7 linked regions of the Oryctolagus cuniculus genome follow. The protein of the gene in region 6 interacts with the protein of the main gene of each other region in a biochemical or structural test. Links are inferred from orthologs where the notes say so. Each region holds a gene or a part of one and is shown on either strand. Other genes may lie near its edges.

Region 1 (4,138 bases), on a different chromosome or scaffold from region 6:
TCCCGAGAAAACCCCTCCCCAGAAGAAACTGGTGCCCACCCCCAGCCCCATGTCCCCCCACCGTCTCAGGCCCACTGCCCCGCCCCCTGCTGCTGGGCGGCGGAGGTGCAAGCTCCTGAATGGGTCCCTCACCTCCTGATGGCTGTGCCTACACAGTCGAGGACACTCTGGCCAGGCCCTGGGATTCGGGACACAGGACACAGACTCTGCGCCCAGACGTCACAGCTCCGGAAGACACAACCTCAAGTGCAGAGGACACTGGGGGGGGGGGGGCGGGGAAACAAGCAGCCGGGCGGGGGAAGGGGGTCATGGTTGAGGCTCTCAGCCCAAGCTGGGGAAGCTTCTAAAAGGAAGAGACACGTCCCTGGACTCCTGGGGGAGGAGGAGGGGGTAGAAGGGGCGGCTATGCACAGGGCATCAGAGCAGCTGGGAGCGGGGGGGGGGGTGGGAAGGGAGGGGCAGCCGCACGCTGCGGAGACCACAGGGCTACCCAAGGCGACAGGGCTGGGAAAGAGCTCTGCCTACGTCCACGTGCTTCTCAGGCCTCCTGCCCAGGCTGGAACCCTCGGGGGCAGGCTTCTCCTCTGGCCTGGGTCTGCTCCCCCATGCAACAGTGTCACTCCACTGGCTCCAGCCTCGCTATGCGCACCCCAGAGATTGCGCACAGCCTGGCTTGTGCAGGCTCCCTGACGCTGGCTTGCATTCCCCTCCTAAGGGCTGGGACAGTGGCAGAGATCCCTGGCCTGAACATGGCACCCCGAGAAGGCAGCCACCCAGTGCCTGCCGAGAGCCACGCCTCCACTTCAGGCCTCCCCCCAGCTTGGACCAGGCCTGGGCAATCCAGCCGGGGGCCCAACAAGACCCACTGGAGAGGCCAGCACTGCAGTGTAGCAGGGTAAGTCACTGCCTGTGACACCAGCATCCCAAACGGACACTGGTTCGAGTCCCAGCTGCTCCACTTCTGATTCATCTCCCTGTTTATGTGCCTGGGACAGCAGTGGAGGGTGGCCCAAGTGCTTGGGCCCCTGCACCCACGTGGGAGACCGGGGGGAAGCTCCTGGCTTCCATTCGGCCCAGCTCCAGCCATTGCGGCCATCTGGGGAGTGAACCAGCAGATGGGAGAGCTCTGTCTGTCTCTCCCTCTCTCAGTGTAACTCTGACTTTCAAATAAATGAATGTTGACTAGAGAGAGAGAGAGAGAGAGAGAGAGAGAGAGAGAGAGAGATTTAAAGAAAAAATAGCCCCACTGGAGCAACACTTCTTATCTCCAGGAGCCAAAGCAGCCCGCGTTGGCTTCTGCTTCCTGGCCTGGGAAGGGCGTCATGGAGCTGTGTCCAGCAGCTCTTGGTCCTCAGGAGTGGACAGAGAGCCCCCCTCCTCCCAGCTGCCCTCTGTTTTGCCAAGTTCATGTTCATTCAGTCAGTCAGTCCACATTTACTTGGTGCCTCCCCCTGCGCAGGGGCAGGGGCAATGACAGAGAGGGATCAGAGCACTTCTGCTCCACAGGGCAACGGACAAGACAGAAATACCCAAGCCAGAGGCACACGGGGTCCAGGAGGCTGGGGCAGGTGATGAGGAGCTCACGGGGGCATCAGAAGAGCCGTACTGGGGGGGGGGGGGGGTACTTGTGGGTGGTGACCTGCACCCGTGCTGGGAAGGCCAGGAGCGGGGACAGAACCTCCAAAATCCCTGCCACACTGCCCCCGGTTTGCACCCGGCTGTGCCAGGTGCTGGGGGCAATGCAGGCTATTTATGGTTGCACCTAGAAAAAAAGCAGCCACATGTGTCACTGCCCTGGAGGGCAGAGCTGGGCTGCGGGGGGGCAGGGAGCAGCTGGGGCTTGAAGCTGGGCCTGGCCAGTGTAGCCCCCAAACCCTAACGACGTGTTTTACCTTTTCACAGCCTGCTGCAAGGTGAAAGCAGGGAAGGGGGGGGGGCTCCAGCAGGCAGCAAGGGAGCTGAGGCTTGCGGGGAGGGCAGTGGCCCGCACCGGTGCGCCTGCCCTACCTGCCGGCCCTTGAGCATCATCTCCCTCCCACTGCCTCCTCCCTGCTCCCCTGCCCACCCCCAGCTGTGGGGGAAGGGGTGAGTGCCAGAGGAAATGCTGTAATTGTAAACCAAGCGCAGCAGCATCAGCCCTGTTTCTCCCCAGCCCACTCTGATCCACAAATAGCCGCGCACCAGGCTGGCGCAGCCCGCCCACCCCTGCCCGACACCTGGACACCGGGGCCCCACTGCACCTTCCCAAGGAACCCATTTCCTGCGCCCCCCCCAAGGTGAAGGCCTCGCCAGCTCCGTCTCCCCCAGGGACCCAGCGCAAGGGCCTCCTGGCATTGCCTGGGTGATGCCCACGAGCCGGGGCGCCTGCGAAGCTTCTCCGGCCGTGTGCCTACCGCTCTCCAGGTAACTGCCCGGTTCCCCTCAACCCCCGGCCTGGAAGAAGTCACCCTGCACCCACCAGCAACCCGCACCTGCCACCTGGGTCCCCACCCACCCCAGCCCTCTCAAGGGCCAGACCCCTACCTGGGGGCAGGAGCGCCGGGTACCATGGGCGGCGCCACGGGGCGACGCGGGGCACCTGGGCCCGGCCTCAAGCCCGGAAGGCTTCCCGGGGGAGGAGGAGGCTGGCGCGGCCGCCGCGCCGCTTCGCTCCGGGCTGTGGCGGGGCTGCGGGAAGCAGGAAGGTCAGGGGCGGGCGGAGCGCGCGGCCGAGCCGATTAGAGAGGCATTTTTAGCGAGCCAATGGCGGCGCGGCCGGGCGGCGCAGGCTGCGCAGGTGGCGGCGCCCCGGCTGCCGAGGCGGCCGCGACGGCGGAGCCCGCGCCCGGGCGGGGGAGGCGCAAGCGGGGGCGCCCAGCTCTCTCCTCCCGGGCCGCCGGGGCCGGGCAGCGGGCTCTAGGGGCGGGGGTGCGGACAGCTCCTTTCCCGCACTGCCTCCTCCTGAGCCCCCTAGCCCGCCCCATCCTTCCTCAGTCCTCCCTCTCCAGCCCCCTCCCCAAACTCCTCTCCCAGCGCGCCCCCCACCCAACCCCACTTGCCAGCTCCTATGGAGGGGGGGCTGTCTCTCCACGCCCTTCCTGACCCCCCCCCCCCCGCCACGGCTGGATATCTGTGTTTCTGCCCTCTCGTCCCTCTGACCGCATACATGCAGGGTACGTCCGAGGGGTGTGTGTGTGTGTGTGTGTGTGTGTGTGTGTGTGTGTGTGATGACTCCCTCCACCTCACCCCACCCATGGCCCACCCCCACCTCGGAAATGTTGCCTTGACCCCATGGGGCAGACTCCTCAGTCACCAAAACACACAGCCATGTCCTTGGGGCTCTCTGGGGGTCTTGGGTCCTAAAAGTCACACACGCGCGCACACGCACACACAGGGCTTCACTCTTCTGCCCTGCGCCCTTGAGTCTGGAGCCGGGGTTGGGGGGGCGCTTCCCGGGGACCAGTCCTTTAGCACAAATCTGTAAGGCGCCTACTGTGTGCCCGGCGCACCCCTGCCCTGCCTGAAGCGGAGACAGCCGTCCGTGTAAGTTGCAGGGGGCTTTATCTCAGACAGGTGCGCACAAAGCGCAGGGAAGCAAGGCAAGAACGCGGGGCCACCAGGGCGGACGGCGGGTGAGGGCTTCTGCGTGCGCATGCGTGTGAATGTGAACCGCCACCCCACTCAGGGCGTCTCCAGCTGGCCACAGACCTCCCCACTCCCTGTGGCTGCCCTGGGCTGGTCACACACAGGCGTGTATTTCCTGGTCTCTTTTTTATCACCCCCTCAGCAGAGGCACTGAAACTGGTGACCCCAGGGCCCCCCGCACGGGACCCTGTGCATACTGACTGCGTGTAGGGCATTGCAGCCCGGAGGCGTTTAGCACTCATTTGGGGTGATTGTGTGACAGCACCTACCCTAAGGCTGCACAGGACCGCCAAGTGAGTAGACGATGTCCTAGAGAAAACCAGACAGCTGTGGGTTACAGCCATGCAGGAAGACTTCCTGGAGGAGGTGACATTCAGACAGGCTACTGAGTGATAACTGAGATTATGATGAACTAGACTGGGCTGGAGGCTGAGATACACATATTTCTCTTCAAAGATTTATTTATTTATTTTTAAAGATTTATTTATTTAAAAGGCAGAGTTACAGAGAGGCA
Region 2 (3,500 bases), on a different chromosome or scaffold from region 6:
CCAATGGATGAAAGATCCCTCTCTCTTTCTAACTTCACTGTTCAAATAAATAAATGTTTAAAAATAAAATAAAAAATGACAACCAAAACTTCACCTTCATACATTTAAAGAAAAAATTTTGGGTCAGTGTTATGGAATAAAGGGAAAAGGTGCCATCTGACATGAGCATCCCATATGGGCGCCGGTTCTAGTCCCTGCTGCTCCTCTTCCAGTCCAGCTCTCTGCTATGGCCTGGGAAAGCAGTGGAAGATGGCCCAAGTCCTTGGGCCCCTGTATCCACATGGTAGACCTGGAAGAGGCACCTGGCTCCTGGCTGCAGATCGGCACAACTCCAGCCATTGCGACCATTTAGGGAGTGAAATAACGGAAGGAAGACCTTTCTCTGTCTCTCCCTCTCGCTGTCTGTAACTCTACCTCTCAAATAAATAAATAAAATATTTTTTATAAAATATTATTTATTTGAAAGGCAGAATTACAGAGAGAAGAAAAACAGAGAGAGAACTTCCATCCACTGGTTCACTTCCCAAATGGCCACAATAGCCAGGATGGAATGGGTTAAAGCCAGGAGTCAGGAGCTTCATCCAGGTCTCCCTCATGGGTACAAGCTCCCAAGAACTTGGCCCCTCTTCCACTGCTTTCCCAGGCACTTTACCAGGGAGCTGGATCAGAAGTGGAACAGCTGGAGCTTGAGCTGGCACTTAAATGGATTTTGTTTTTTTAAGATTTATTTATTTATTTGAAAGGGAGAGTTACAGAGAGGCAGAGACAGAGGTGAGAGAAAAAGAGAGGAAGAGGTCTTCCATCCACTGGTTCACTCAAATGGCCGCAATGGCTGGAGCTGGGCCAGTCTGAAGCCAGGAGCTTCTTTTAGATCTCCTTTGTGGGTTCAGGGGCACAAGGACCTGGGCCATCCACTAGTGCTCTCCCAGGCCATAGCAGAGAGCTGGATCAGAAATGGAGCAGCCGGACCTGAACCAGCGCCGACATGGGATGCTGGCACCGAAGGTGGTGGCTTCCCCTGGCTTGCCACAGCGCTGGCCCCATGGATTTTATTTTTAAGGAAACAATACTTTCTGAAAATAGGATGGGTGTTTAGCCTAGTAGTTATGATACTGGTTAAGATGCCTGCACCAGGGGCCAGCGTTGTGGCATAGCAGGTAAAGCTGCCACCTGCAGTGCTGGCATCCCATATGGACGCTGGTTCATGTCCCAGCTGCTGCACTTCCGATCCAGCTCTCTGCTATGGCCTGGGGAAACAGAAGATCACCTAAGTCCTTGAGTCCCTGCACCCGTGTGAGAGACCTGGAGGAAGCTCCTGGCTCCTGGCTTCGGATCGGCCCAGCTCCGGCTGTTGGTGGCCATTTGGGAAGTGAACCAGCGGATGGAAGACCGCTCTCTCTCTCTGCCTCTCCTTCTCTCCCTGTGTAACTCTGACTTTCAAGTAAATAAATAAATAAATTTAAAAAAAAAAAAAAATCCCTGCATCCCACCTTGGAGTACCCAGATTGGGCTCCTGACTTTAGCTTCCTGCTGATGCAGACATTGGGAGGTAGCAGTGATGGCTCAAATAATTGGGCCTCCTGCTGTGCAAGACCTAGCTTAAGCTCCTAGCTCCCAACTTCGCTCCCAGCCTTTGAAGGCATTTGTGCAGTAAGCCAGAGGATGGAGACTCTGTCTGATTTTATTTGTCTCTATCTGCCTCTCTGTAAACTGCCAAAAAAATACTACCTAAACTTCACAAGCACGTTGAGCATGGTTATCTCTTGAAACAACAAGAAATAACTTTGGTTAAATTGATTAAAGAATAGAAAAGCAGGAATGAACAAATACCCAGTAAAGGGCAAACCTACAATTTGAATTTTGGGAATTTGGAGCCAAAACTAGCTGGATATTTATCTCTCTTGTTTTACAATGTACGTATGTATTGGAAAGGCAGAGTTGCACAGATAGTAAGGAGAGATTTTCATTTCTGTGGTTCACTCCCGAAATGGCTGCAACAGCCAGGTCTGGGCCAGGCCAAATTCAGGAGCCAGGAACTCCATCCCACATGGTGGCTAGGTGCACTAGCAGGGAGCTGGATCAGAAGCAGAGCAGCTGATATGTGATCTGAAGTGGGATGCTGGCTCCCAGAAACGTTTTTTCAAAAATGAAAGTTCGTTTCGGGTTAATTTCGGGTGGGTTGGGTAGTTGCGGTTGATACTTTTCTCTCTAGAAAGTGTAAATCAGGTTGTGTTCTTGCAGGGCCTCTGGAGATCCTGGCAAGAAAAAACAGCATATTTGCCACATTCAAGGCTGTGGCAAAGTATATGGCAAGACTTCACACCTACGGGCACACTTGCGCTGGCATACAGGCGAGAGGCCATTCATGTGTACCTGGTCCTACTGTGGGAAACGCTTCACACGTTCGGATGAGCTCCAGAGGCACAAACGCACACACACAGGTAAGCAAGAGCAGTAATAGACCAGAATGGAAAGGTACAAAATGTGCGTATGAAGCAGCTCCACTTTCTGAGCAACTTACGTTTTTGAAACTGAAATATGTATTTGGGTCACAAATAGAATTGGAGTTAATCTGGAAAACTTCAGAAGGAAGGAGAGGCCAGTGCTGTGGCATAGAAAGTTAAGCCTCTGCCTGCAGTGTTGGCATCTCAAATGTGCACCGGTTCGAATTCCAGCTGTTCTACTTCCAACCCAGCTCACTGCTGATGCACCTGGGAAAGCAGTGGAAGATGACCCAAGTCCTTCTCTCTATGTATCTCTGCCTGCCTGCCTGCCTGCCTTCCTTCCTTCCTTTCTTTTCTTTTCTTTTCTTTTCTTTTTTTTTTTTTTTTTTTTGACAGGCAGAGTGGATAGTGAGAGAGAGAGACAGAGAGAAAGGTCTTCCTTTTTGCCGTTGGTTCACCCTCCAATGGCCGCCACGGCTGATGCGCTGCGGCCGGCCCACCGCACTGATCCGAAGGCAGGAGCCAGGTGCTTCTCCTGGTCTCCCGTGGGGTGCAGGGCCCAAGCACTTGGGCCATCCTCCACTGCCTTCTCGGGCCACAGCAGAGAGCTGGCCTGGAAGAGGGGTAACCAGGAAAGAATCCGGCACCCCGACCGGGACTAGAACCTGGTGTGCTGGCGCTGCAAGGCGGAGGATTAGCCTAGTGAGCCGCGGCACCAGCCTGTATCTCTGCCTTTCAAATAAATGAATCTTTAAAAATAAATTTAAAAAAAGAAGGAAGGAGGGGCCAGTGCTGTGGTGGAACAATTTAAGTCTGGGTCTCCTAAACCAGTATTCCATGTGGGCATCAGTTGGAGACCATCCTGTTCCACTTCCAGTCTAGCTCCCTGCTAATGTGCCTGGGAAAGTGGTGGAAGATGGCCCAAATCCCTAGGCTCCTGGCTTTGGGCTGGCCCAACCCTGGCTGTTACGGCCATCTGGGGAGTGAACCATTGGATGGAAGATCTCTCTCTCTCTCTCTCTCTCTCTCTCTCTCCCCCTCCCTCCCTCCCTCTCT
Region 3 (3,500 bases), on a different chromosome or scaffold from region 6:
AATGCTGTTTGCTTGGGAGATTTTTGTTAGAAAAACAAAATTTTTAAAAGAATGGCGTTTAACACAAATTTGCACAGCTTCGGCAGAAATGAAAGATGCAGAGTTAAAAAAAAAATGATATCCAGCAGGATAGTAAAACAAAATCTGGCCACAGTGGCACCAGGCTGGGTGCGGTGACCTGAGACCACCTGCCCAGACACAGGGAGTGGCCTCCAGGGTCCACAGCCGGACCCGGATGGCGCTTTGTTCATTTATTTCCATTGTCATGATTACTGGTTAATACTGGGCCCGGTCAACCAATCCTGTCATTGTTTACAAAGAGACCTTTCCTTCTATGGATGGAAGCCTTGGTGCCAGTTTGCAATTTTTTAAAAAGAGCTTTATCTCCACCTAGTGGTCAGAGTTGTAAGTGCGTCTGTCTGTCAGCCTCAGTTTTATTTTAGGTGCTGGGGTAAGTGCCCAAGCCGAGAGAAACATGTAGAAAACAGGAAGACTGTTTTTCTTTTTCTGAGAATGGGCCTCACTGCACCGGCATCCATTCACTTTGGGGCCAGAATTAAACAAATATCATGGATGACCAGGAGTCATTTTCTGAAAAACCATATGTAATGTGTATTTTCCCCCCAAGGCAATGCGTTAATAGAAGTCGGCGAATCCATGAAACTCATGGCTGAGGTGAAAGATTCCCTGGACATCAACGTGAAGCAGACATTCATTGACCCGCTTCAGCTGCTGCAAGACAAAGATTTGAAGGAGATTGGGGTAAGTCTTTGTGGCTGCAGGTGCACCCTGTTGCTGCTTAGAATAATACATTTAAAATCATCGCGATGTGGAATAATATTTATGTTTAAGATCATTGCGACTTAGAATAATATTTGTGTTTAAAATCATTAGGACAGTTCTGCGGGTGCTAAGTGAAGGCATCACTTTATGGTGGGTGGTGACAAAATAACTCCGTTAGATTTCCCTGGATCCACTGGGAGCCAGCATCAGGAGGCATTAACCCCATCTACTGCAGAGGTGGGGCACTGAGGTGGGGACAGTGGGAAGACATGACCATGTTCCTTCAGCTTTAGGATTTCAGAAAAGAGAGAGAGAGAGAGAGAGAGAGAGAGAGAGAGGTCTTCCATCCCCTGGTTCACTCCCCAGATGGCCGCAATGGCCAGAACTGAGCCTATCTGAAGCCAGGAACCAGGAGCTTTTTCCAGGTCTCCCTTGTGGGTGCAGGGGTCCAAGGACTTGGGCCATCTTCCGCTGCTTTCCCTGGCAGGAGCTGGGAGCTGGATCGGAAGTGTAACTCTGAACTTCCACCTCAAAGAGGATCAAGAGTCGAGATCCCAAGATCCAGCGAGCCTGCAGTAGTCCCCGCAAGCTCTGTGCGTGCTGGAAATCAGGGGTCGGAGCCTGTTTGTTTAGCACACGGCTGGCATACTGCTGTCCAGGGAGGGCTGGAGAGGGATTTAGGGGCTTGGCCCAAGGAACAGATAGGCTGGGAGAGACGCGTCTGATCTTTAATCCCATAAGCTCTTTCTGCCTCCTGGTCTGGAAGTCAGAGCCACTTCAATGAATGGTGCCAGTCACCTGATGCTTCTGAGGGGACGGTCAGCTTCCATGGGCGCTCTAGGTACTGCCCATGTGTTTTCCAAGGTCCCAGCAGGAAACTCGTAGCGGCCCCTCCCTTGCCTTGCACAGACTGAATACAAACTGGGAGAGGAGACCCAGTATCCACAAGGCAGGCTGTCTCGTGAATGGACGACTCCACTTGTTATCACTGTTAGATTTTATTAAAGGAATTAGAATGTCGCGTAGAATCCCACCAGTTCAGAGGTTGCCTGTAGCTCCCTCGCCTCTGCAATCATGGGTAGCATTTTTTTTAATGTTCATTTTATTTATTTATAAGTCAGAATTACAGAGAGAAAGGGAGAGACAGAGAGAGAGAGAGAGAGTGAGTGAGCGCGAGAGGTCTTCCATCTGCTGGGTCACTCCCCAGAAGGCTGCATTGGTCTCCCACACCCATGCAGGGGCCCAAGTTTTGGGCTATCTTTCTCTGCTTTTCCAGACCATTAGCACAGAGCTGGCTGGGAAGTGGTGCAGCCAGGACTTGAACCAGTGCCTGTGTGGGATGCTGGTGCTGCAGACGGCAGCTTAACCTGCTGGCCCCCATTGGTAACATTTTATGCAACTTACCTTGTAATTGGGCACTTTATAGAGGATCCGTGCTTTTCCTAGGGGATACCAGAAATGTGTGCCCATGTCTCAACGAGGAGCTGATGACAGCACCAAAGGAATTGTTTTTTTTTTTTTAAACAAAAAACAAATTTCTCCCACTAAATTCTCATCTTGAAAAAAAAAGTGTTTGTGAGACAGACAGAGCTTGCTTTGCGGGCGCATTCCCCAGATGTGGTGGCTGGGGCAGGGCTGGGCTGCAGTGGGAAGCAAGTCTCCCACATGGGTTGCAGTGGCACGGCTATTGGGCCATCACCAGAGCCTCCTGGAGTCTGTATTTGCCAAGAAGCCGGGGTCAGGAGCCAGAGCCGGGCGCTGAGATGGGGCACAGGGCATCTTCACCAGGAGGCCAAGCTCCCGCCCTGCCCCTGTGTTGTGCCCAGCTAATTTGGTTAGAAGCTACCTGAACATTGCAGAATGTTGGAACCTGGTCTCTGAGCAGGGACACGGATCCTGTGCTCCGTATAGACACTCATTCATTCATTACGTCACCCATGCATCCAGCCATCCAGCCATTCATTCATTCAGTTGTGGGGTATTCCTCCACTTGCAGTGTGGGGCGTCTCCAGCAGGTGTACTGAGGTGCACACAGCAGGAAGACAGAGATGGGTCCCTGCCTTTTGGAATTTAAGCCTGGGGGAAAAATAAGGGGGGAGGGGCTACATTCCTAGAAATATAACCAAGAATGTTGGGCGCCATCTTTTGAATGTGACACTTCTCTCAGGGACTCCTCTCTCTCTCTCTCTCTCTCTCTCTCTCTCTCTCTCTCTCTCTCTTTTTTCTTCCCAGCACCACCTGAAAAAGTTGGAAGGCCGCCGCCTGGATTACGACTACAAGAAGAAGCGAGTGGGTAAGATCCCCGACGAAGAAGTCAGACAAGCGGTAGAAAAGTTTGAAGAGTCCAAGGAGCTGGCCGAACGGAGCATGTTCAATTTCCTAGAGAATGACGTAAGTATTGAAACGGACAGGCGGGCTTCATGCAGATAGACAGCAGAGGCCCCTGTGCATCTGGGCTCAGCGTGTTGAGGCACCCCAAGGCCAGGGCTGTTAGGAAAGCCCCCCGAGTTTTTCCGGGACCCTTGTCTCCTGCTAAAGAGGTGGCTTCAGACACCCAGTGAGCTCCAGCTCAGAGCCGCAATCTTGGGAAGACCACCGTTTGGGTCAGGCTTGTTCCATGGATGGGCTGGAGTCGCTGCCCCCGCCAGTGGGGGGCAGGGGAGGCTGCAGGATGGGCAGCCAGAGGCCCCAGCCCTGTGGCTTTGCAGGACGAGGGG
Region 4 (3,500 bases), on a different chromosome or scaffold from region 6:
GAGGGGCAGATGCTCGTTCTGGAATGGGAGCCAAACCAGGTGTCCTGGTTCCATCGCTCCTTGAATGTCTGTCGGGGCTGCTAATCAGGTGCTGGCGTGGCTGGGACCCTCGCGTGGGGAGCTGGGGACGGGGGCTCTTTGGCAACAGACCAGATGCCTTTAGTGGAGAATGGCGTGGGAGCCCGGGGAGGCACGCTTTGTGTGTGAGACCCCACCACCTTGACTGTCGAGGCCAGCTGCACTGTGCAGATGGTCCCCAGGCTCCGGGGGTTGAGCCACGGGGTCCTACCTTGGATGCAGCCACCAGCTGGGCTGTGCTAGCAGCAATTTCGCGTGAACACACCATGAGCTCCTCGAATTTCCCTCTGCCTTGCACCACCAGGTCAGCTGCGTCCCTGACAGGAAAGAATGTGACAAGGGCCAGGTCAGAGGCAGCTCAGGACCCAACCCCTGCAGCCCCTCCCGTTGGCCCTGTCTAGACTAGAAGGGGACAATGCCAGCCCCGTCCTTGTCAACTCCAGCTTCCCTGTGAAGCCTTCAGTCTTTACCAACAACAGTTCCCTTCCAGGGGACTATGGGTCAAGGGAGCGGGACCGAGGGAGGGGACCGGGCGCTGTAGCCACTTACACCATGACGGTGGCTCCCCAGCCCACCGCTTTGGAGGCTGAGATGAGCCCTTCTGTCCAGCGAGAGTTCTTGGCATAAAATTCCTTAGGGGACGCAGTGCCCTGAGAGGGGAAAGGAAAGAAGGGGTCACCTTTTACCGAGCGCCTGCTCTGGGTCTACCACTTCGGTTGACGGGTCCTGGGTGGTCCTGGCTGGTCCTGGCAGTAACTCAGGGAGGGAACCAGTGGTCCCGTCCCATTGCTCAGGGGAGAAAACCAAGACCCAGAGAGGCGACTGTGCTCCCCCCCGGGGGGCACTGCACACTGTCAGTCCTGGGCATGTCTACTCTACCTCAATCTTCCTACCATAAGTCCCCTACTTCTGTGGACTCAACAAAACACTGCTCAGAATTAGTTGGCGGGGGTGGGAATATTTTTTTCCTCTTGTCAGTAATCCCTAAACCATACAGTAGGAGCAGCTGCTTCCATAGCACTGACACTGTATTTGGCCTAAGTCATGTAGAGAGGATTTGAAGTTTACGGGAGGGGACTGGTAATGTTAGGCAGCAAACTAAGCCTCCGCTTACAATGCTGACATCCAGCATTGGGGCACTGGTTCAAGTCCCGGCTGCTCCACTTCCAATCCAGTTCCCTGCTAATGGGCCTGGGAAAGCAGTGGAGGATGGCCGGAGTACCTGGGCCCCTGCCACCCACATGGGAGACCCGGATGGAGATCCTGGCTCCTGGATTCAGCCTGGCCCAGTCCTGGCCACTGTAGCCATTTTGGGGGAGTGAATCAGTGGATGGAAGATCTCTTTCTCCCCTTCAAATAAATGAATAAATCATAAAAACAAAAGTTATGAAAGGGAGCGTGCAGATTATGTACAAATATGATGCCATTTTATATAAGCAACTTGGCATTTCTATGGGGCGGGGGGTGGCGGGGAAGGTGTCCTGGCACTAATCCACAGTGGGTTTCAAGAGGAACCGAGATATCAGAACTCACATACTCAGCGATGAGTCAGTTATGATCTGGGGCGAGTCTAGCTGCTTTCCACCATTTCCCAAAAGATGGGAGGACGCGATGAATAATTTACAAAGCATTATGTCTACTTGAAGTTCCAGAACATTCTCAGGCTTTGTTAGTGTCTGCCAGTGTGCCAGGCCCAGATGGATCAGGGGGCACCCCCAAAGCAGAAACAGCTGCTGGCTCCCTCCCTGGGCCCCTTCCTAGAGGGAGAGACAAACTGGGCCAGGCAGGGACCAACAGCCCAGCGACGGCAGAGCTGGTTGTGAGAGACAGCAGGGAGCGGACTCGGATGGAAGCAGACATGGCCAGACTCCCGGGAAATGTCGGTCCCAGGCATGCGTGTCCATCTGCCCAGGTTCCAGAAGCCCTTGTTCCTCTCAGAGGGCCTGGAAGTGCCGTGTAAGGAGGGTTCCCAGGGCCGGTGTTGTGACGCAGCAAGTTAAGCAACCACCTGCCAAGCTGGCATCTTATGTGGGCACTAGTTCAAGTCCTGGCTGCTCCACTTCCGATCTGGCTCCCTGCTGACGCGCCTGGGAAGGCAGCGGGGACATGGTACAGAGTGCTTTGGCCCCTGTGGGAGTCCTGGATGGAGTACCAGACTCCTGATTTTGTCCCGGCTCAGTCCTGGCCATCGTGGCCATTTTGGGGGGTGAACCAGTGGATGGAAGATCTGTCTCTCTCTCTCTCTCACTCTGTAATTCTGCCTTTCAAATAAATAAATGTCTTTTTTAAAAAACAAAACAAAACAAAACAAAAAAAGAGGTTTCCCCGGTTGGGTCACAGCGGCGACTCACCAACCCAGACCACCCGACCCCCAGGCTGATGACCGATCACGAGAAGGGGTGGCTCGCCCACGGGGGGTTCACAGGACCAGACATCAGTGCCGCTAGACCCCAGGGATCATGGAGTCAGACCTGCGCTCCCCACCTGCGGGCCCAGCCTGCATGCCTACCCGGCCGCTCTCTACGATCTCCCTCTGGAGGTCCTTGGAGGCCACAATCAGGACCTGAATGGCTTGCATCAGGCCGGTACAGGAGCCGAGGATCCTGGGAGAAGCAAAGCAGATAGTCAGGGCCGCGGGCACGTGGGAGCCCCAAGGACAGCAAGGCAGGCGAAGCGACCTCACTGTCACCGTCAATGCTGTCGCCCCCGGGGCAGCTCAGTTCCCTCTGACCCCTGAACGGGTTTGCAGAGCACAGCCCCCGGCCAGCGAGACTCATCCTGCCCACACGGGTGCCACCGCCGCTCAGACCAACCTCTCGTTCACCTCCAGCTTCACGCCTGTGTCTCCTGCACGGGATTTGCTCAGCATTTCCTGTTTTAAAAAAAAAGCACAGTTTTCCAAACGCACCTCCAGGACCGAGAAGCCGGTTCTACTGTACCTCCCTGCGGAAGCTGGGGAACCTGAACTGGGGAGTCCCCAGGCAGGGAAGGGCTCTGGCCCCATCTCTGTGCAGGTGCAATGGGCAGTGACAGCAGGTGGAGCAGGCTGTGCGCCCTTTCCACACCCTGTCCACCTGGCACCTGGGCTTGTGTGCACGGAACCCTGGCAGCCACAGGCCCGGGGGGTGCCAGAGGCAGGTGCTCACACCTCGGGGGGTGGTCTGGGCCCCTCCAGCGAGGGAGCAACCTGGGACCTTCCCCAAGGCGCCCGCTAAGCTTTCCGTGAATGAACCTCCCATGAGGGGGTGCCACCAATTTCCGGAGTGCCTGGCACCCAGAGGGAGATGGGCACTGTCTCATGTCACCCGTGCAGCAGGCCCCTGGAGTGGGTATGACGACTGCTGCCATTGTGGAAATGGTACAGGGATCCTACAGCAGCCGGAAGGCTTGGAAGGGGTCCGTCTGGAAGTCGACCCCCGGAT
Region 5 (3,182 bases), on a different chromosome or scaffold from region 6:
GGAGGGACGGTTGGTCCTGCTGGGCTCTTCGGTGGGGTGAAGTGAGGGAGGGAGAAGGCTGGGCTGTGTTGGGGGCTGTGTGTTTGAAGCTGGTACCCAGCTCCTCTTTCCCCTGGCTGGGGCAGACCTAGGAAGGAACCACAGGCATCTGGGTGAGGGCTGGGTGGGGCAGGGTTGCCCTTGGAGAGGCTGGGAGGGGGCGGGCTTGTGGTGGGACCTTCCTCCACAGCCCCAACAGCAGGTGTCCCAGAGGAGTGTGTGTGTGTGTGTGTGCGTGCACATGTGTGTGTGCACATGTGTGCATGCCCGCGGCGAGCTGCAGCAGGAGTTGGCTTGCTGCAATCTGGAAGAACCTGGCTGTCTCCCTACCCTGACTGGACCTGTGTTCCAGGGAGGAGCGAGCGCAGGCACAGGGCTACAGGGCCGAGGAGGAGGAAGAGGAAGAGGAGGAAGAGGAGGAAGAGGAGGAGGAGGAGGAGGAGGAGGGCTCTGCGCAGGCGGAGGAGGCTGTGCCTGTGGATTTCAAGCCCATCGAGGAGCTGATCCCCGAGGAGGAGCTGGGGGCTGCGGAGGAGGCGGTGCCAGCCGAGGAAGGGGCGACTGAGGAGGCGGAGCTGCTGTCCGAGGACACGGAGGCCTGGGAGGAGGTGGAGCCAGAGCTGGATGAGGCCACGCGGATGAACGTGGTCACGTCAGCCCTGGAGGCCAGCGGCCTGGGCCCTTCGCACCTGGACATGAAGTATGTCCTCCAGCAATTGGCCAACTGGCAGGACGCCCACTGCAGGCGGCAGCAGAAGCCGAAGGTGCCTCCCAAAGGTGAGTGCTCCCGCGGGGGCCTCCCTCCGGCCAGCCGGACAAGCTGCAGGTCTTCAAGCCGATGAAAGTGCTCACCTGCCCCAGCCCGGCCCTGCCCAGCGTGCTTATTTGCATGGACTTTGCATATCATTTGCATAGGCACCTCAAGCCCCCTTCCCGGGTGTCCTTGGGACCCAGCACTCCTTTATGTGGAATTTGCTTAGGAGTCTAGCTGTCCACCCACTTGGCTCCTGGGCTGGGGTCAGGGCCGGGACTGTCTCCCTCACTGCACCTCAGCTTCCTGTCTCTGCCTGCCCCCTCCCCCCACCCTTCACCCCCACCTCCCCTGTCCCCAAGGCTCCCCAACCCTGCAGCAGTGGCAGCAGCAGGCCAAAACAAACATGGGGGGCGGGAGCGTGGAGCAGCGGCCCGGGGTGCCGACCCAGGACTCTCGGAGGCTGGAGGAGGACAGGGCCAGCCACCCTCCCGGGGCCGGGGAGGAAGATGGGCCTTCGGGGGCCACCTAGGCCGCTGGCACCGAGGCCCCCGCCAGCAAGGGCCACAGTCGCACCAGTCCCCTGGGTGAGTCTGAAGGTGGGCAAGGGTCAGCTGCAGGGTGGCGGGAGGCGGGTCAGGGTCTCCTCTCCCCAGCTGGAAGCCCCAAAGTTTGAGGCGGCTGCACCTGCCGGGCGTAGGCCTGGTGAGCCCTGCCTCTGCAGTGACCCGGTGACAGCGCTGCAGACGGACCATTTTCCCGGGTGTTAGCCCCTGTCACCCTCACGGCCCTGTAGGTAGGTGGTGGTGTCCCCTGAGATGATCAGAGAGCTGAAGTGACTCGATCCAGGTCCAGCTGAGATGTCTTCACACCCTGCCGTGCTGTGCCGTACATCCCCTCTGCTGCTGGCCTGTGGGCAGCCGTGGGTTTATAACTTGTTGGCAACCTCCCTGTGATGTGGCCTGCCTCGGCTCTGATGGTGCTTTGGTCACCGCTGGGTTTGGAATAGCGCTGGCCTCAGCAGGGCCTCCGGGTGAGGTTGTGCAGGTTGTAAGCTGAACCGGACGCCCGTGGCTGGGCAGTGGGCTCTGGCCTGTGGATCTGTGATGGCTGTCCGCCTCCCGGTGCAGAGCCACCTGGGCCAGGCCTTCACGTCTACCCCTTTTTCTTCCAGGCTTTGCTTTTTCCCAGCAGCCTGCAGAGGCCCCACAGACATGAGGCCCCTCCTTCTGCTGCCTGGCCAAGCCCTCCCCACCCCAGCCCTCCCTCTCCCCTCTCCAAAACGTGACCCGGTGCATGTCAGCAGCCCACCCTCTGTCCTGACAAGCCTGGGCCAGAGCGTGAGGGTCCAAGCCTCGAGCCTCTTCCCGGCCAGGCTGAAGGAGCCCGGGGCTTCGCTCTGCAGCTGGTGCAGGAGCTGTGGCTGCTGGGCCTGGGTCACGTGGTGGCGCCAGGCGCGGAAGAAGCCCCGGGGGAGGCCTGCCGGCTACCAGACCCAGCTCTGAGGAGGGGTGGGGGGTGATCCCAAGGGTCGGGAGTTGTTGGGGGTCACCTCCTGGGGACCTGGCCCTCTCCCCAGTCCTGTCTTTCCTGCTCAGTCCCCTTTGGTGTTTGTACTCAGAAGTGGCTCTGTGTGGGGTGGGGGAGGGGTCCCTCTGCCCAGTGGTATGTCTGCCTTGCCCCGGCCACTAGCCTGTGGCCTGCGAGTGTCCAGGCTCCCACGCTCCTCCCTGGGGGGCCCTTGTTCCCTAGTTCTGGGTGTTCTTCCTTTTGTATCCCTTCGCTCATACACAGCTGGGCTCCGGGCCTCAGGACCCCCACTGCGCTTCTTAGTGCCCTGCTGCTTGTCCGTGTAGGTGTCTGCGCAGGAAATAAAGGATTTGTGTACTGCTGGTCCAGCCTCCAGCCTTCTCTCTCAGGGAGCATGTGTGCCTGTGTGTGGGTGCAGGGGTGTGCGTGTGTACACTTTGCGGAACAACGTTAAAGAAGATGGACTCTGACTTTTATTAAATGCACCGTGGAATCACATCAACACCCCCTGGGGGATAATGAGCGGTGTCAGAGGGGAAACTGAGGCCCAGGCAGGCCAAGTGACCCTGGAGAGCTGGGTTTGAACCCAAGTCCTTGGAGCCTGTGCTCAGGCAGGCTCCCCTCCCTGGTCCTTTTGGCCCTGGCTGTGAAGGTTAGAGTGGGAGTGAGAGTTACCCAGTGCCCGGGCTCAGGGCCCCCAGGGACAGGCCTGGAATGGGGCTCGAGAACAAGGAGTTTGTTTGGAAGATGATCTGGGCAGCAGTGGAGCCTCAGGTCCCACCCCAGACTACATAGCACCAGCCCCTGCAGGCTCGCATGGTCCCCAGGGAGTTCACGTGCGGGTTAGCGTTTGAGACACGCT
Region 6 (2,941 bases):
CCCCGATCCGGGGAGATGACTGGGTGCTTGACAGGGGCTCCCTCGCAGTCCAGCGCATCCTCTCCTGGGTGTCTGTGGGCAGATGGAGCCAGGCACGTGTGTGTGGGAGCCGTTTCCATGTTGTCCACGGCAGTCACGCAAGCACGGCTAGGCAGGACTGCCAGAAAGGATGCAGCTCCGGGGTCTGCAGAGGCAGTCAGCAAGAGCAGGCAGGCCCGGCTTCCCGGCTGGCGGCTGAGCTCAGGCACTGGACTGCGTCGTGTTGGGAAGTGTGTGGGAAAAACCTGAGGAGGACAGGCTTGTGCGCGTCACCGGAGGGGTGGACTGCAGAGGGCTGCGTGTGGTGTTTCCGCTTCTGCAGCGTGCGCTTGGCCAGCCGAGTGAGGCTCTGACTAGTGTCCCCTCCTTCCAGGATCAGGAAGGGGTTTCCCTGTGAAGCCAGAGTGGTGGCAAGGATCCTGCCTCAGTTTTTAGATGACTTCTTCCCACCCCAGGATGTCATGAACAAAGTCATTGGAGAGTTTCTGTCCAATCAGCAGCCATACCCGCAGTTCATGGCCACCGTCGTGTACAAGGTGAGGTAGACGTGGGTGGGAGCTGGAGGCGGGGTCCCAGGACATTGGCAAGATGCCTCCCTGCAGAGAGCAGCGGGGTGGAGGAACTGACGCCTCCCCAGCCCTGCGCTGCACGCTGCTTCTCGCCCCTGCCCAGGTCTTCCAGACTCTGCACAGTGCCGGGCAGTCGTCCATGGTCCGGGACTGGGTCATGCTCTCCCTGTCCAACTTCACGCAGAGGACCCCGGTCGCCATGGCCATGTGGAGCCTCTCCTGCTTTTTCGTCAGTGCGTCCACCAGCCCCTGGGTCTCAGCAACGTATCCTTCCTTGGGTGCTGGGGCTCTCGGTGGGGCCTCTGCCTGCTGCCAGATTTCGCTTTTTCTTCTGTCAACTTCTGTGTTTTGTCTTAAACTTTTTGAAGCCTGACACTTGCAAAACCCGCAGCTTCAAGGTGCTGTTCCCCTCTGTCCCGAGGAGGAAGGCGTTGGCAGGGCCACAGAAAGCAGGGTGCCCTCCGCTTGCCCAGCAGGACCGCCTGGCTCTGCAGCCAGGCCTCCCCTGTCTCCGCTGGGCCCCCTCCCCTCCTGTGCCCGTGCAGCTGGGTTCCCAGTGCTGCTTCTCATTAGCTTTGTCATTGTGCCTCGATCACCCTCTAGGGGGCTGCTTAGGAAAGATCCGTCCCCACCCCCAGAACGCTGGTGCCAGGAGTTCCCTTTTTGGCAGCCTTTCCCCGAGACAGACACAAGTCTCCGAGCAGCGTGGTCATGCTGGTGCTGGCAGCACAGCCTCGCCCAGCGCGCCTGGGAGGGCCCGGGTAGGCAGGGCCACGGCTCTGTGCTCACTGCGTCGGAGCGGGGCTCGCGGGAGCACCGGCAGCCAGCACTGCGCAGGGCGCTAGGCCAGGTAAGTGCTGCCCCGAGCACCTGCTCAGCCAGCGCTGCCTGGGCGGGGAGCTGGGCTCCGGCACGAGAGGGTCTAGGAGGGCGTGTGCCCAGCCGCCCCTTTCCTGCCTGCTGCTCTGTCCCTCGCGCCTCCTGGGGCTGGGTCAGGAAGGGGCTCCTGGGGGGGGCAGCCTTCCGTGCCCGTGGCAGTGCTCCCTTAACTCCCGGCCAGCCTCCCGCACGTCGTCAGCAGGATGGGCAAGCTGGAGCAGGTGGACGTGAACCTCTTCTGCCTGGTCGCCACCGACTTTTACAGACACCAGATAGAGGAGGAGCTCGACCGCAGGGCCTTCCAGTCTGTGTTTGAGGTGGTGGCAGCGCCAGGAAGCCCATACCACCGGCTGCTGACATGTCTGCGAAACGTGCACAGGGGCGCCGCCTGCTGAGTGCCCCCGGTGGGAGAGTGCGCGAGGCAGCGGCTGGGCCGGCTCCGCGCAGAAGCCAGTGCCCGGTGCCCTGCCTCGTCCCTCCGGGCTTCCGTTCACGCCGCGAGGCAGCCAGGCAGCGTGCGCGTCTGCCGAGAGGCACGAGTGCTCTTTGCAGCAGTGGCTGAGCAGGGACCACACACAGCGCTGTGGGGGTGCAGCCGAGTCCTCGGAGAGCAGGCGCAGCTGGGCTGCCAGCGCCGGTGCCGGTGCCCAGGGGTCGGTCTTTCTCCCCACAGTCACCTGCCGTTGCCGCCAGGTTGCGGCTCCCTTGGCCTGGGACGGAAGTCCTCACTCTTGCAGGCTGGTCGTCGGCCCCTCGCCGTCCCACAGGGAGGACACGAGTGCCGGCACCCGGCCTTGTGAGCACGTCTCCCCTGTTGCACCAGCGACCAGACGCACAGACCCTGTGGCCAGGCCAGCAGCTGGGGCGCCACACACCTGCGCCATCCTCTGTCTCTGTTTTCTTCTCAGGATTTAAAATTCAATTCTATCAGTAAAGAGATTAATTTTAATGTAACTCTTTCTACGCCCGTGTAAAGTGTGTGGCTCACAAGGCCAGCGCTGCGTGAGGCAGTGTCCACGGAAGCGATGGGTCTGTGGCAGCCCTCTCGTGGCGTCTCCCCTGCACACCCCACTTTGCTACACAGTCACATTCGGTTAGCCTGGCAAGAAGAGCTGGTGCCCCGGTGTCGGCAGCAGGACTGCCCCCCGGGCCCCGTGAGCCCTCAGCCCCTCCCAAGGCCTCTGCCCACCATAAGGGTCGGCACCGCTTCTCTGCCGCTAATAGCCTTTGTGTCCAGGGACGCTGGCCCAATGGCCCCGGGAGCTCGCTGGCTGGCGTTGGGCCCACTGCCCCATGTTGGGGTCCTGGCAGCCCAGGGTGTCACTGAGCTCTGTTCTGGCTGAGCCCCTCTTGGTCAGAGCAAGTGAGGGTCAGGCCTCGATGCCTCTTGTACCCCTTTCCCACGCCGCTGCCAGCTCAGCAGGGAGCAGCTCTGTGTGTGGTGATGGGCTGAT
Region 7 (3,500 bases), on a different chromosome or scaffold from region 6:
TAAGAAATATTAAGAAGTTTTTATGTACTGAAACAGTACTGTTAAGTGTGGTATTTAGTAATCATTAGTACCAAGGTCAGCATCCCTCATTTGTGTTGACAGATAACGACAAAAGGATAGAGAATTTGAGAACAGAATTTCAGAGTTGTCTATATGCACTTGTTTTTTTCAAGAGTAGTGGATTCACAGGTGTACAGTATTGCTGAAGGGCAGCTCTATCCAATAAATTTATATCCCTTATGCAATTTTAATTTTTAATTAACCATATTTAACTCATTGTATCAAAAAGTTTCAACATGTTGAGTTTTTATAAAAGTTTGTGCTAAGTCTTTGTAACCATTTCATTTTATACTTACGCTATATTAGAGTTCTGAATAGCCACATTTCATGTACTCATGTAGGTCAGCGGCTACCATATTGAACAGTGCAGTGCTAAGAATTATGGGAACAGAGTTTAGGGTCAGTTTCCTTAGAGGTATTTGCTTACAGTATTAAACTCTTAAGGATTTTGGGAAACAGGAAGTTTAAAAATTACTGGGGGCTAAAGTTTAGTATGTTGCCCTGTAAGTAAGCAAATATGGAAACCAAAGAAGAGCAAAGAGAAGAAATTGGAATTAGCAAATAGATAATGGCTTCTATTTAAACTAATATGAAAAAAGAGAAAGGGTCCTGAAACTAGATTTGAGTTTACTTTTATAATTGGAAATAATATATCTACATTTTTACATGTGTTCTCACATTGAACTTAATTTCTAATGTACTTCAAGAAGACTATTCAGATATTTTTTTTCCCAGATATTTTTAGATGAATTGCATGAACATGGACAACTGCATTCTATGTCATCTTGGATGGAATTATATCCCACTATTAGTTCTGACATTAGATTCACCAATATGCTTGGTCAGCCTGGTGAGATTCCTTTCTTTGCTAATTTATAGTTTTGATAGTAGTTACAATGAATTAGAGGGGAATGTGATTATGCTGGGAATTTTTGTTTTATTTTTGATTTATAAACAAAAAAGTAATTGCAGCTCTTTGGTTAGAGCTAGCTTTTGACTTCTTTAGTTTTTTCATTAGGATCAACTGCACTTGATCTTTTCAAGTTTTATGTTGAGGATCTTAAAGCACGTTATCATGATGAGAAAAAGATAATAAAAGACATTCTAAAGGTAAATATTTATTCTTACCTGTTTGCTTATAGTGTATTACAAAAACTGGTACTGTGTTCCTTTGATGTATGTTTTATATATATTAACAATTTTTCTGATTTTTAGGATAAAGGATTTGTAGTTGAAGTGAATACTACTTTTGAAGATTTTGTGGCAATAATTAGTTCAACTAAAAGATCAACTACGTTAGATGCAGGGAATATCAAGTTGGCTTTCAATAGTGTAAGTTAATAATTTTTGCAATTATAAATAACTGGTATAATAGTGAAGTTCTTAATTTTGTAGCTAAGAATTTAAATTGAAGGGCATTTTGATAATGGAGTATACAGAGGTTTTTATAGAATGGTGGTCCTTTTGGTGGGGTAAAAGTAAACTGTTGCTAAGCTTCCTTTCTTGTTAAGAGATAAATTGCCCTTAAATAATATGTGAGTACCTCTAAATTAAGAATAATGAATTATTTCACATGAAAGTCACAGTTATGCTGCAGTAATTAATTAATCATGGTTTTCTGATAGTTACTAGAAAAGGCAGAAGCCCGTGAACGTGAAAGAGAAAAAGAGGAGGCCCGGAAGATGAAACGTAAAGAATCTGCTTTCAAGAGTATGTTGAAACAAGCTGCGCCTCCAATAGAGCTGGATGCTGTCTGGGAAGATGTATGTATATGTGTATATTTTTTCTGATAATTTTTTTTAGTTGAAAAATAAAAATATAAATTCCTTTCACATTTTACAGCCACATATGAAATTGCAAGTTGTTTGTTGAATATATTCAGTATATTTAGAGTATTTGAAGTCAGCTGTGGCTCTGCACTTGGAAATACTTGTTAAAAACGATTGAGACTTTTTTTTCTTAAAGATTTATTTATTATTATTTATTTGAAAGTCAGAGCTGCACACAGAGAGAGAGAGAGAGAGAGAGAGAAAATGAGGTCCTCCATCTGATGGTTCACTCCTCAGTTGGCCACAACGGCCGGAGCTGCGCCAATCCGAAGCCAGGAACCAGGAGCCTCCCACATGGGTCCAGGGGCCCAAGGATTTGGGCCATCTTCCACTGTTTTGCCAGGCCATATCAGAGCTGGATCAGAAGTGGAGCAGCCGGGACCAGAACTGGCACCTATGTGGGATGCCAGTGCTTCAGGCCAGGGCGTCAACCCTACTGCACCACAGTGCTGCCCTCCCCCCTTTTTTTTCTTTTAAAGATTGAGACTATTGAGAGAAAAAAAATTGCACTGTAAATGGTTTGGATTATCATAGTTTTCGCTTGTTGATATTCCTTTTAGGCATATCGGTATCCTATTCCTGGTATTCATCTATTTATTCCATATATGAATTTTTCAGATCCGGGAGAGATTTGTAAAGGAGCCAGCATTTGAGGATATAACCCTGGAATCTGAAAGAAAAAGAATATTTAAAGACTTTATGCATGTGCTTGAGGTAATTTTAGAGTTCTCATAACTGGTTGAAATAATACTTAACATATAAAAGTATAAACAAAATAGAATTTAGAATGATCTGTTTAATATTTATTTATTTATAATTTTCTGGTTACTTGATAGTCATAGAATGTTTCTATACACCGGTACACTCCCCAAATGCCTCACATAGCCAACACTGGGCCAGGCTGAAGCCAGCTGCCTGTAACTCATTTCCAGATCTGAGTTTCCTCTGTGGCCTCTCAGGGTCAGGAGCTGGAGCAGGGGTTGAACCTAAGCACTACAATGTGGAATGCTGCAGGTATCACAAGCAGCCTCTTAATCAACTAGGCCAAATTCTCGCCCCTTTACTATTTACTTAACAAAGCAGAGTTACTGGATAGGGGAGTAGGAAGGGGGAGGAGGGGAGGAAGAAAAAAATATAATTGAAGTTTTGAGATTGAAAAGAAAAGCTAGCATTCAGTGAAATAAAAAAGGGATATTAAGAGTTCTGTCAAAGTCAGATATTCTGTTTCCACTGTGGTAACTAATGCAGAGTGTATTTTTAAAGCTGTAAATGTGTTTGGAGGTACAAGTCTTTTACTGTAGTACCTTCCCTTTTCCATCAGCCTTATAATTTTTTATTTTAATAAAGAAGTTGAAGTCCACAGAGACATGTGAATGCCCAAGGATGTCTTGAGTAGGAGATGTTTCTTGAAGGCAAAGAAACCTGATGTTGATTTTGCATTTATTCTGCAGCCAGCCTTGTATGACATTTGAGGTTCTTTGTTGGTGCCTGGCCTGCATTGCTAACCAAAACCAGATTCCTCAGGAAAAAAAACATGCCTGCATGTCTTATTTCAAAGCAGTTGTGACTGTTCTGCAAATTATACATTTGTAGAGTTTATCAGCTGTCCCT

Evidence for each region.
Region 1: the proteins of HTT (region 6) and PACSIN1 form a complex in vitro, tested with the Homo sapiens proteins (2 studies listed by BioGRID and IntAct). The link is inferred for Oryctolagus cuniculus from reciprocal best matches to the Homo sapiens genes HTT and PACSIN1.
Region 2: the proteins of HTT (region 6) and SP1 form a complex in vitro, tested with the Homo sapiens proteins (2 studies listed by BioGRID). The link is inferred for Oryctolagus cuniculus from reciprocal best matches to the Homo sapiens genes HTT and SP1.
Region 3: the proteins of HTT (region 6) and SH3GL3 form a complex in vitro, tested with the Homo sapiens proteins (2 studies listed by BioGRID and IntAct, with this or other methods). The link is inferred for Oryctolagus cuniculus from reciprocal best matches to the Homo sapiens genes HTT and SH3GL3.
Region 4: the proteins of HTT (region 6) and HIP1 form a complex in vitro, tested with the Homo sapiens proteins (2 studies listed by BioGRID). The link is inferred for Oryctolagus cuniculus from reciprocal best matches to the Homo sapiens genes HTT and HIP1.
Region 5: the proteins of HTT (region 6) and HAP1 form a complex in vitro, tested with the Homo sapiens proteins (4 studies listed by BioGRID). The link is inferred for Oryctolagus cuniculus from reciprocal best matches to the Homo sapiens genes HTT and HAP1.
Region 7: the proteins of HTT (region 6) and PRPF40A form a complex in vitro, tested with the Homo sapiens proteins (2 studies listed by BioGRID and IntAct, with this or other methods). The link is inferred for Oryctolagus cuniculus from reciprocal best matches to the Homo sapiens genes HTT and PRPF40A.

The regions. Positions count from the first base shown.
Region 1 is NC_091436.1:134,918,869-134,923,006, forward strand, and holds the start of PACSIN1 (protein kinase C and casein kinase substrate in neurons protein 1), read right to left. Parts: upstream 2,801-4,138; 5' UTR 2,524-2,800; intron 1-2,523. UniProt on the Homo sapiens protein: Plays a role in the reorganization of the microtubule cytoskeleton via its interaction with MAPT; this decreases microtubule stability and inhibits MAPT-induced microtubule polymerization.
Region 2 is NC_091442.1:56,402,466-56,405,965, forward strand, and holds part of SP1 (transcription factor Sp1), read left to right. Parts: intron 1-2,241; coding exon 2,242-2,441; intron 2,442-3,500. UniProt on the Homo sapiens protein: Transcription factor that can activate or repress transcription in response to physiological and pathological stimuli.
Region 3 is NC_091443.1:102,396,675-102,400,174, forward strand, and holds part of SH3GL3 (endophilin-A3), read left to right. Parts: intron 1-628; coding exon 629-762; intron 763-3,015; coding exon 3,016-3,174; intron 3,175-3,500. UniProt on the Homo sapiens protein: Implicated in endocytosis. May recruit other proteins to membranes with high curvature.
Region 4 is NC_091450.1:50,706,829-50,710,328, forward strand, and holds part of HIP1 (huntingtin-interacting protein 1), read right to left. Parts: intron 2,951-3,500; coding exon 2,892-2,950; intron 2,682-2,891; coding exon 2,588-2,681; intron 729-2,587; coding exon 628-728; intron 396-627; coding exon 290-395; intron 1-289. UniProt on the Homo sapiens protein: Plays a role in clathrin-mediated endocytosis and trafficking. Involved in regulating AMPA receptor trafficking in the central nervous system in an NMDA-dependent manner. Regulates presynaptic nerve terminal activity.
Region 5 is NC_091448.1:20,968,218-20,971,399, forward strand, and holds the end of HAP1 (huntingtin-associated protein 1), read left to right. Parts: intron 1-391; coding exon 392-816; intron 817-1,152; coding exon of another isoform or gene 1,153-1,169; coding exon 1,170-1,377; exon of another isoform or gene 1,378-1,964; coding exon 1,965-2,295; 3' UTR 2,296-2,682; downstream 2,683-3,182. UniProt on the Homo sapiens protein: Originally identified as neuronal protein that specifically associates with HTT/huntingtin and the binding is enhanced by an expanded polyglutamine repeat within HTT possibly affecting HAP1 interaction properties.
Region 6 is NC_091433.1:1,893,590-1,896,530, forward strand, and holds the end of HTT (huntingtin), read left to right. Parts: intron 1-412; coding exon 413-575; intron 576-711; coding exon 712-872; intron 873-1,668; coding exon 1,669-1,882; 3' UTR 1,883-2,441; downstream 2,442-2,941.
Region 7 is NC_091434.1:89,214,294-89,217,793, forward strand, and holds part of PRPF40A (pre-mRNA-processing factor 40 homolog A), read left to right. Parts: intron 1-795; coding exon 796-910; intron 911-1,066; coding exon 1,067-1,170; intron 1,171-1,275; coding exon 1,276-1,392; intron 1,393-1,685; coding exon 1,686-1,823; intron 1,824-2,507; coding exon 2,508-2,603; intron 2,604-3,500.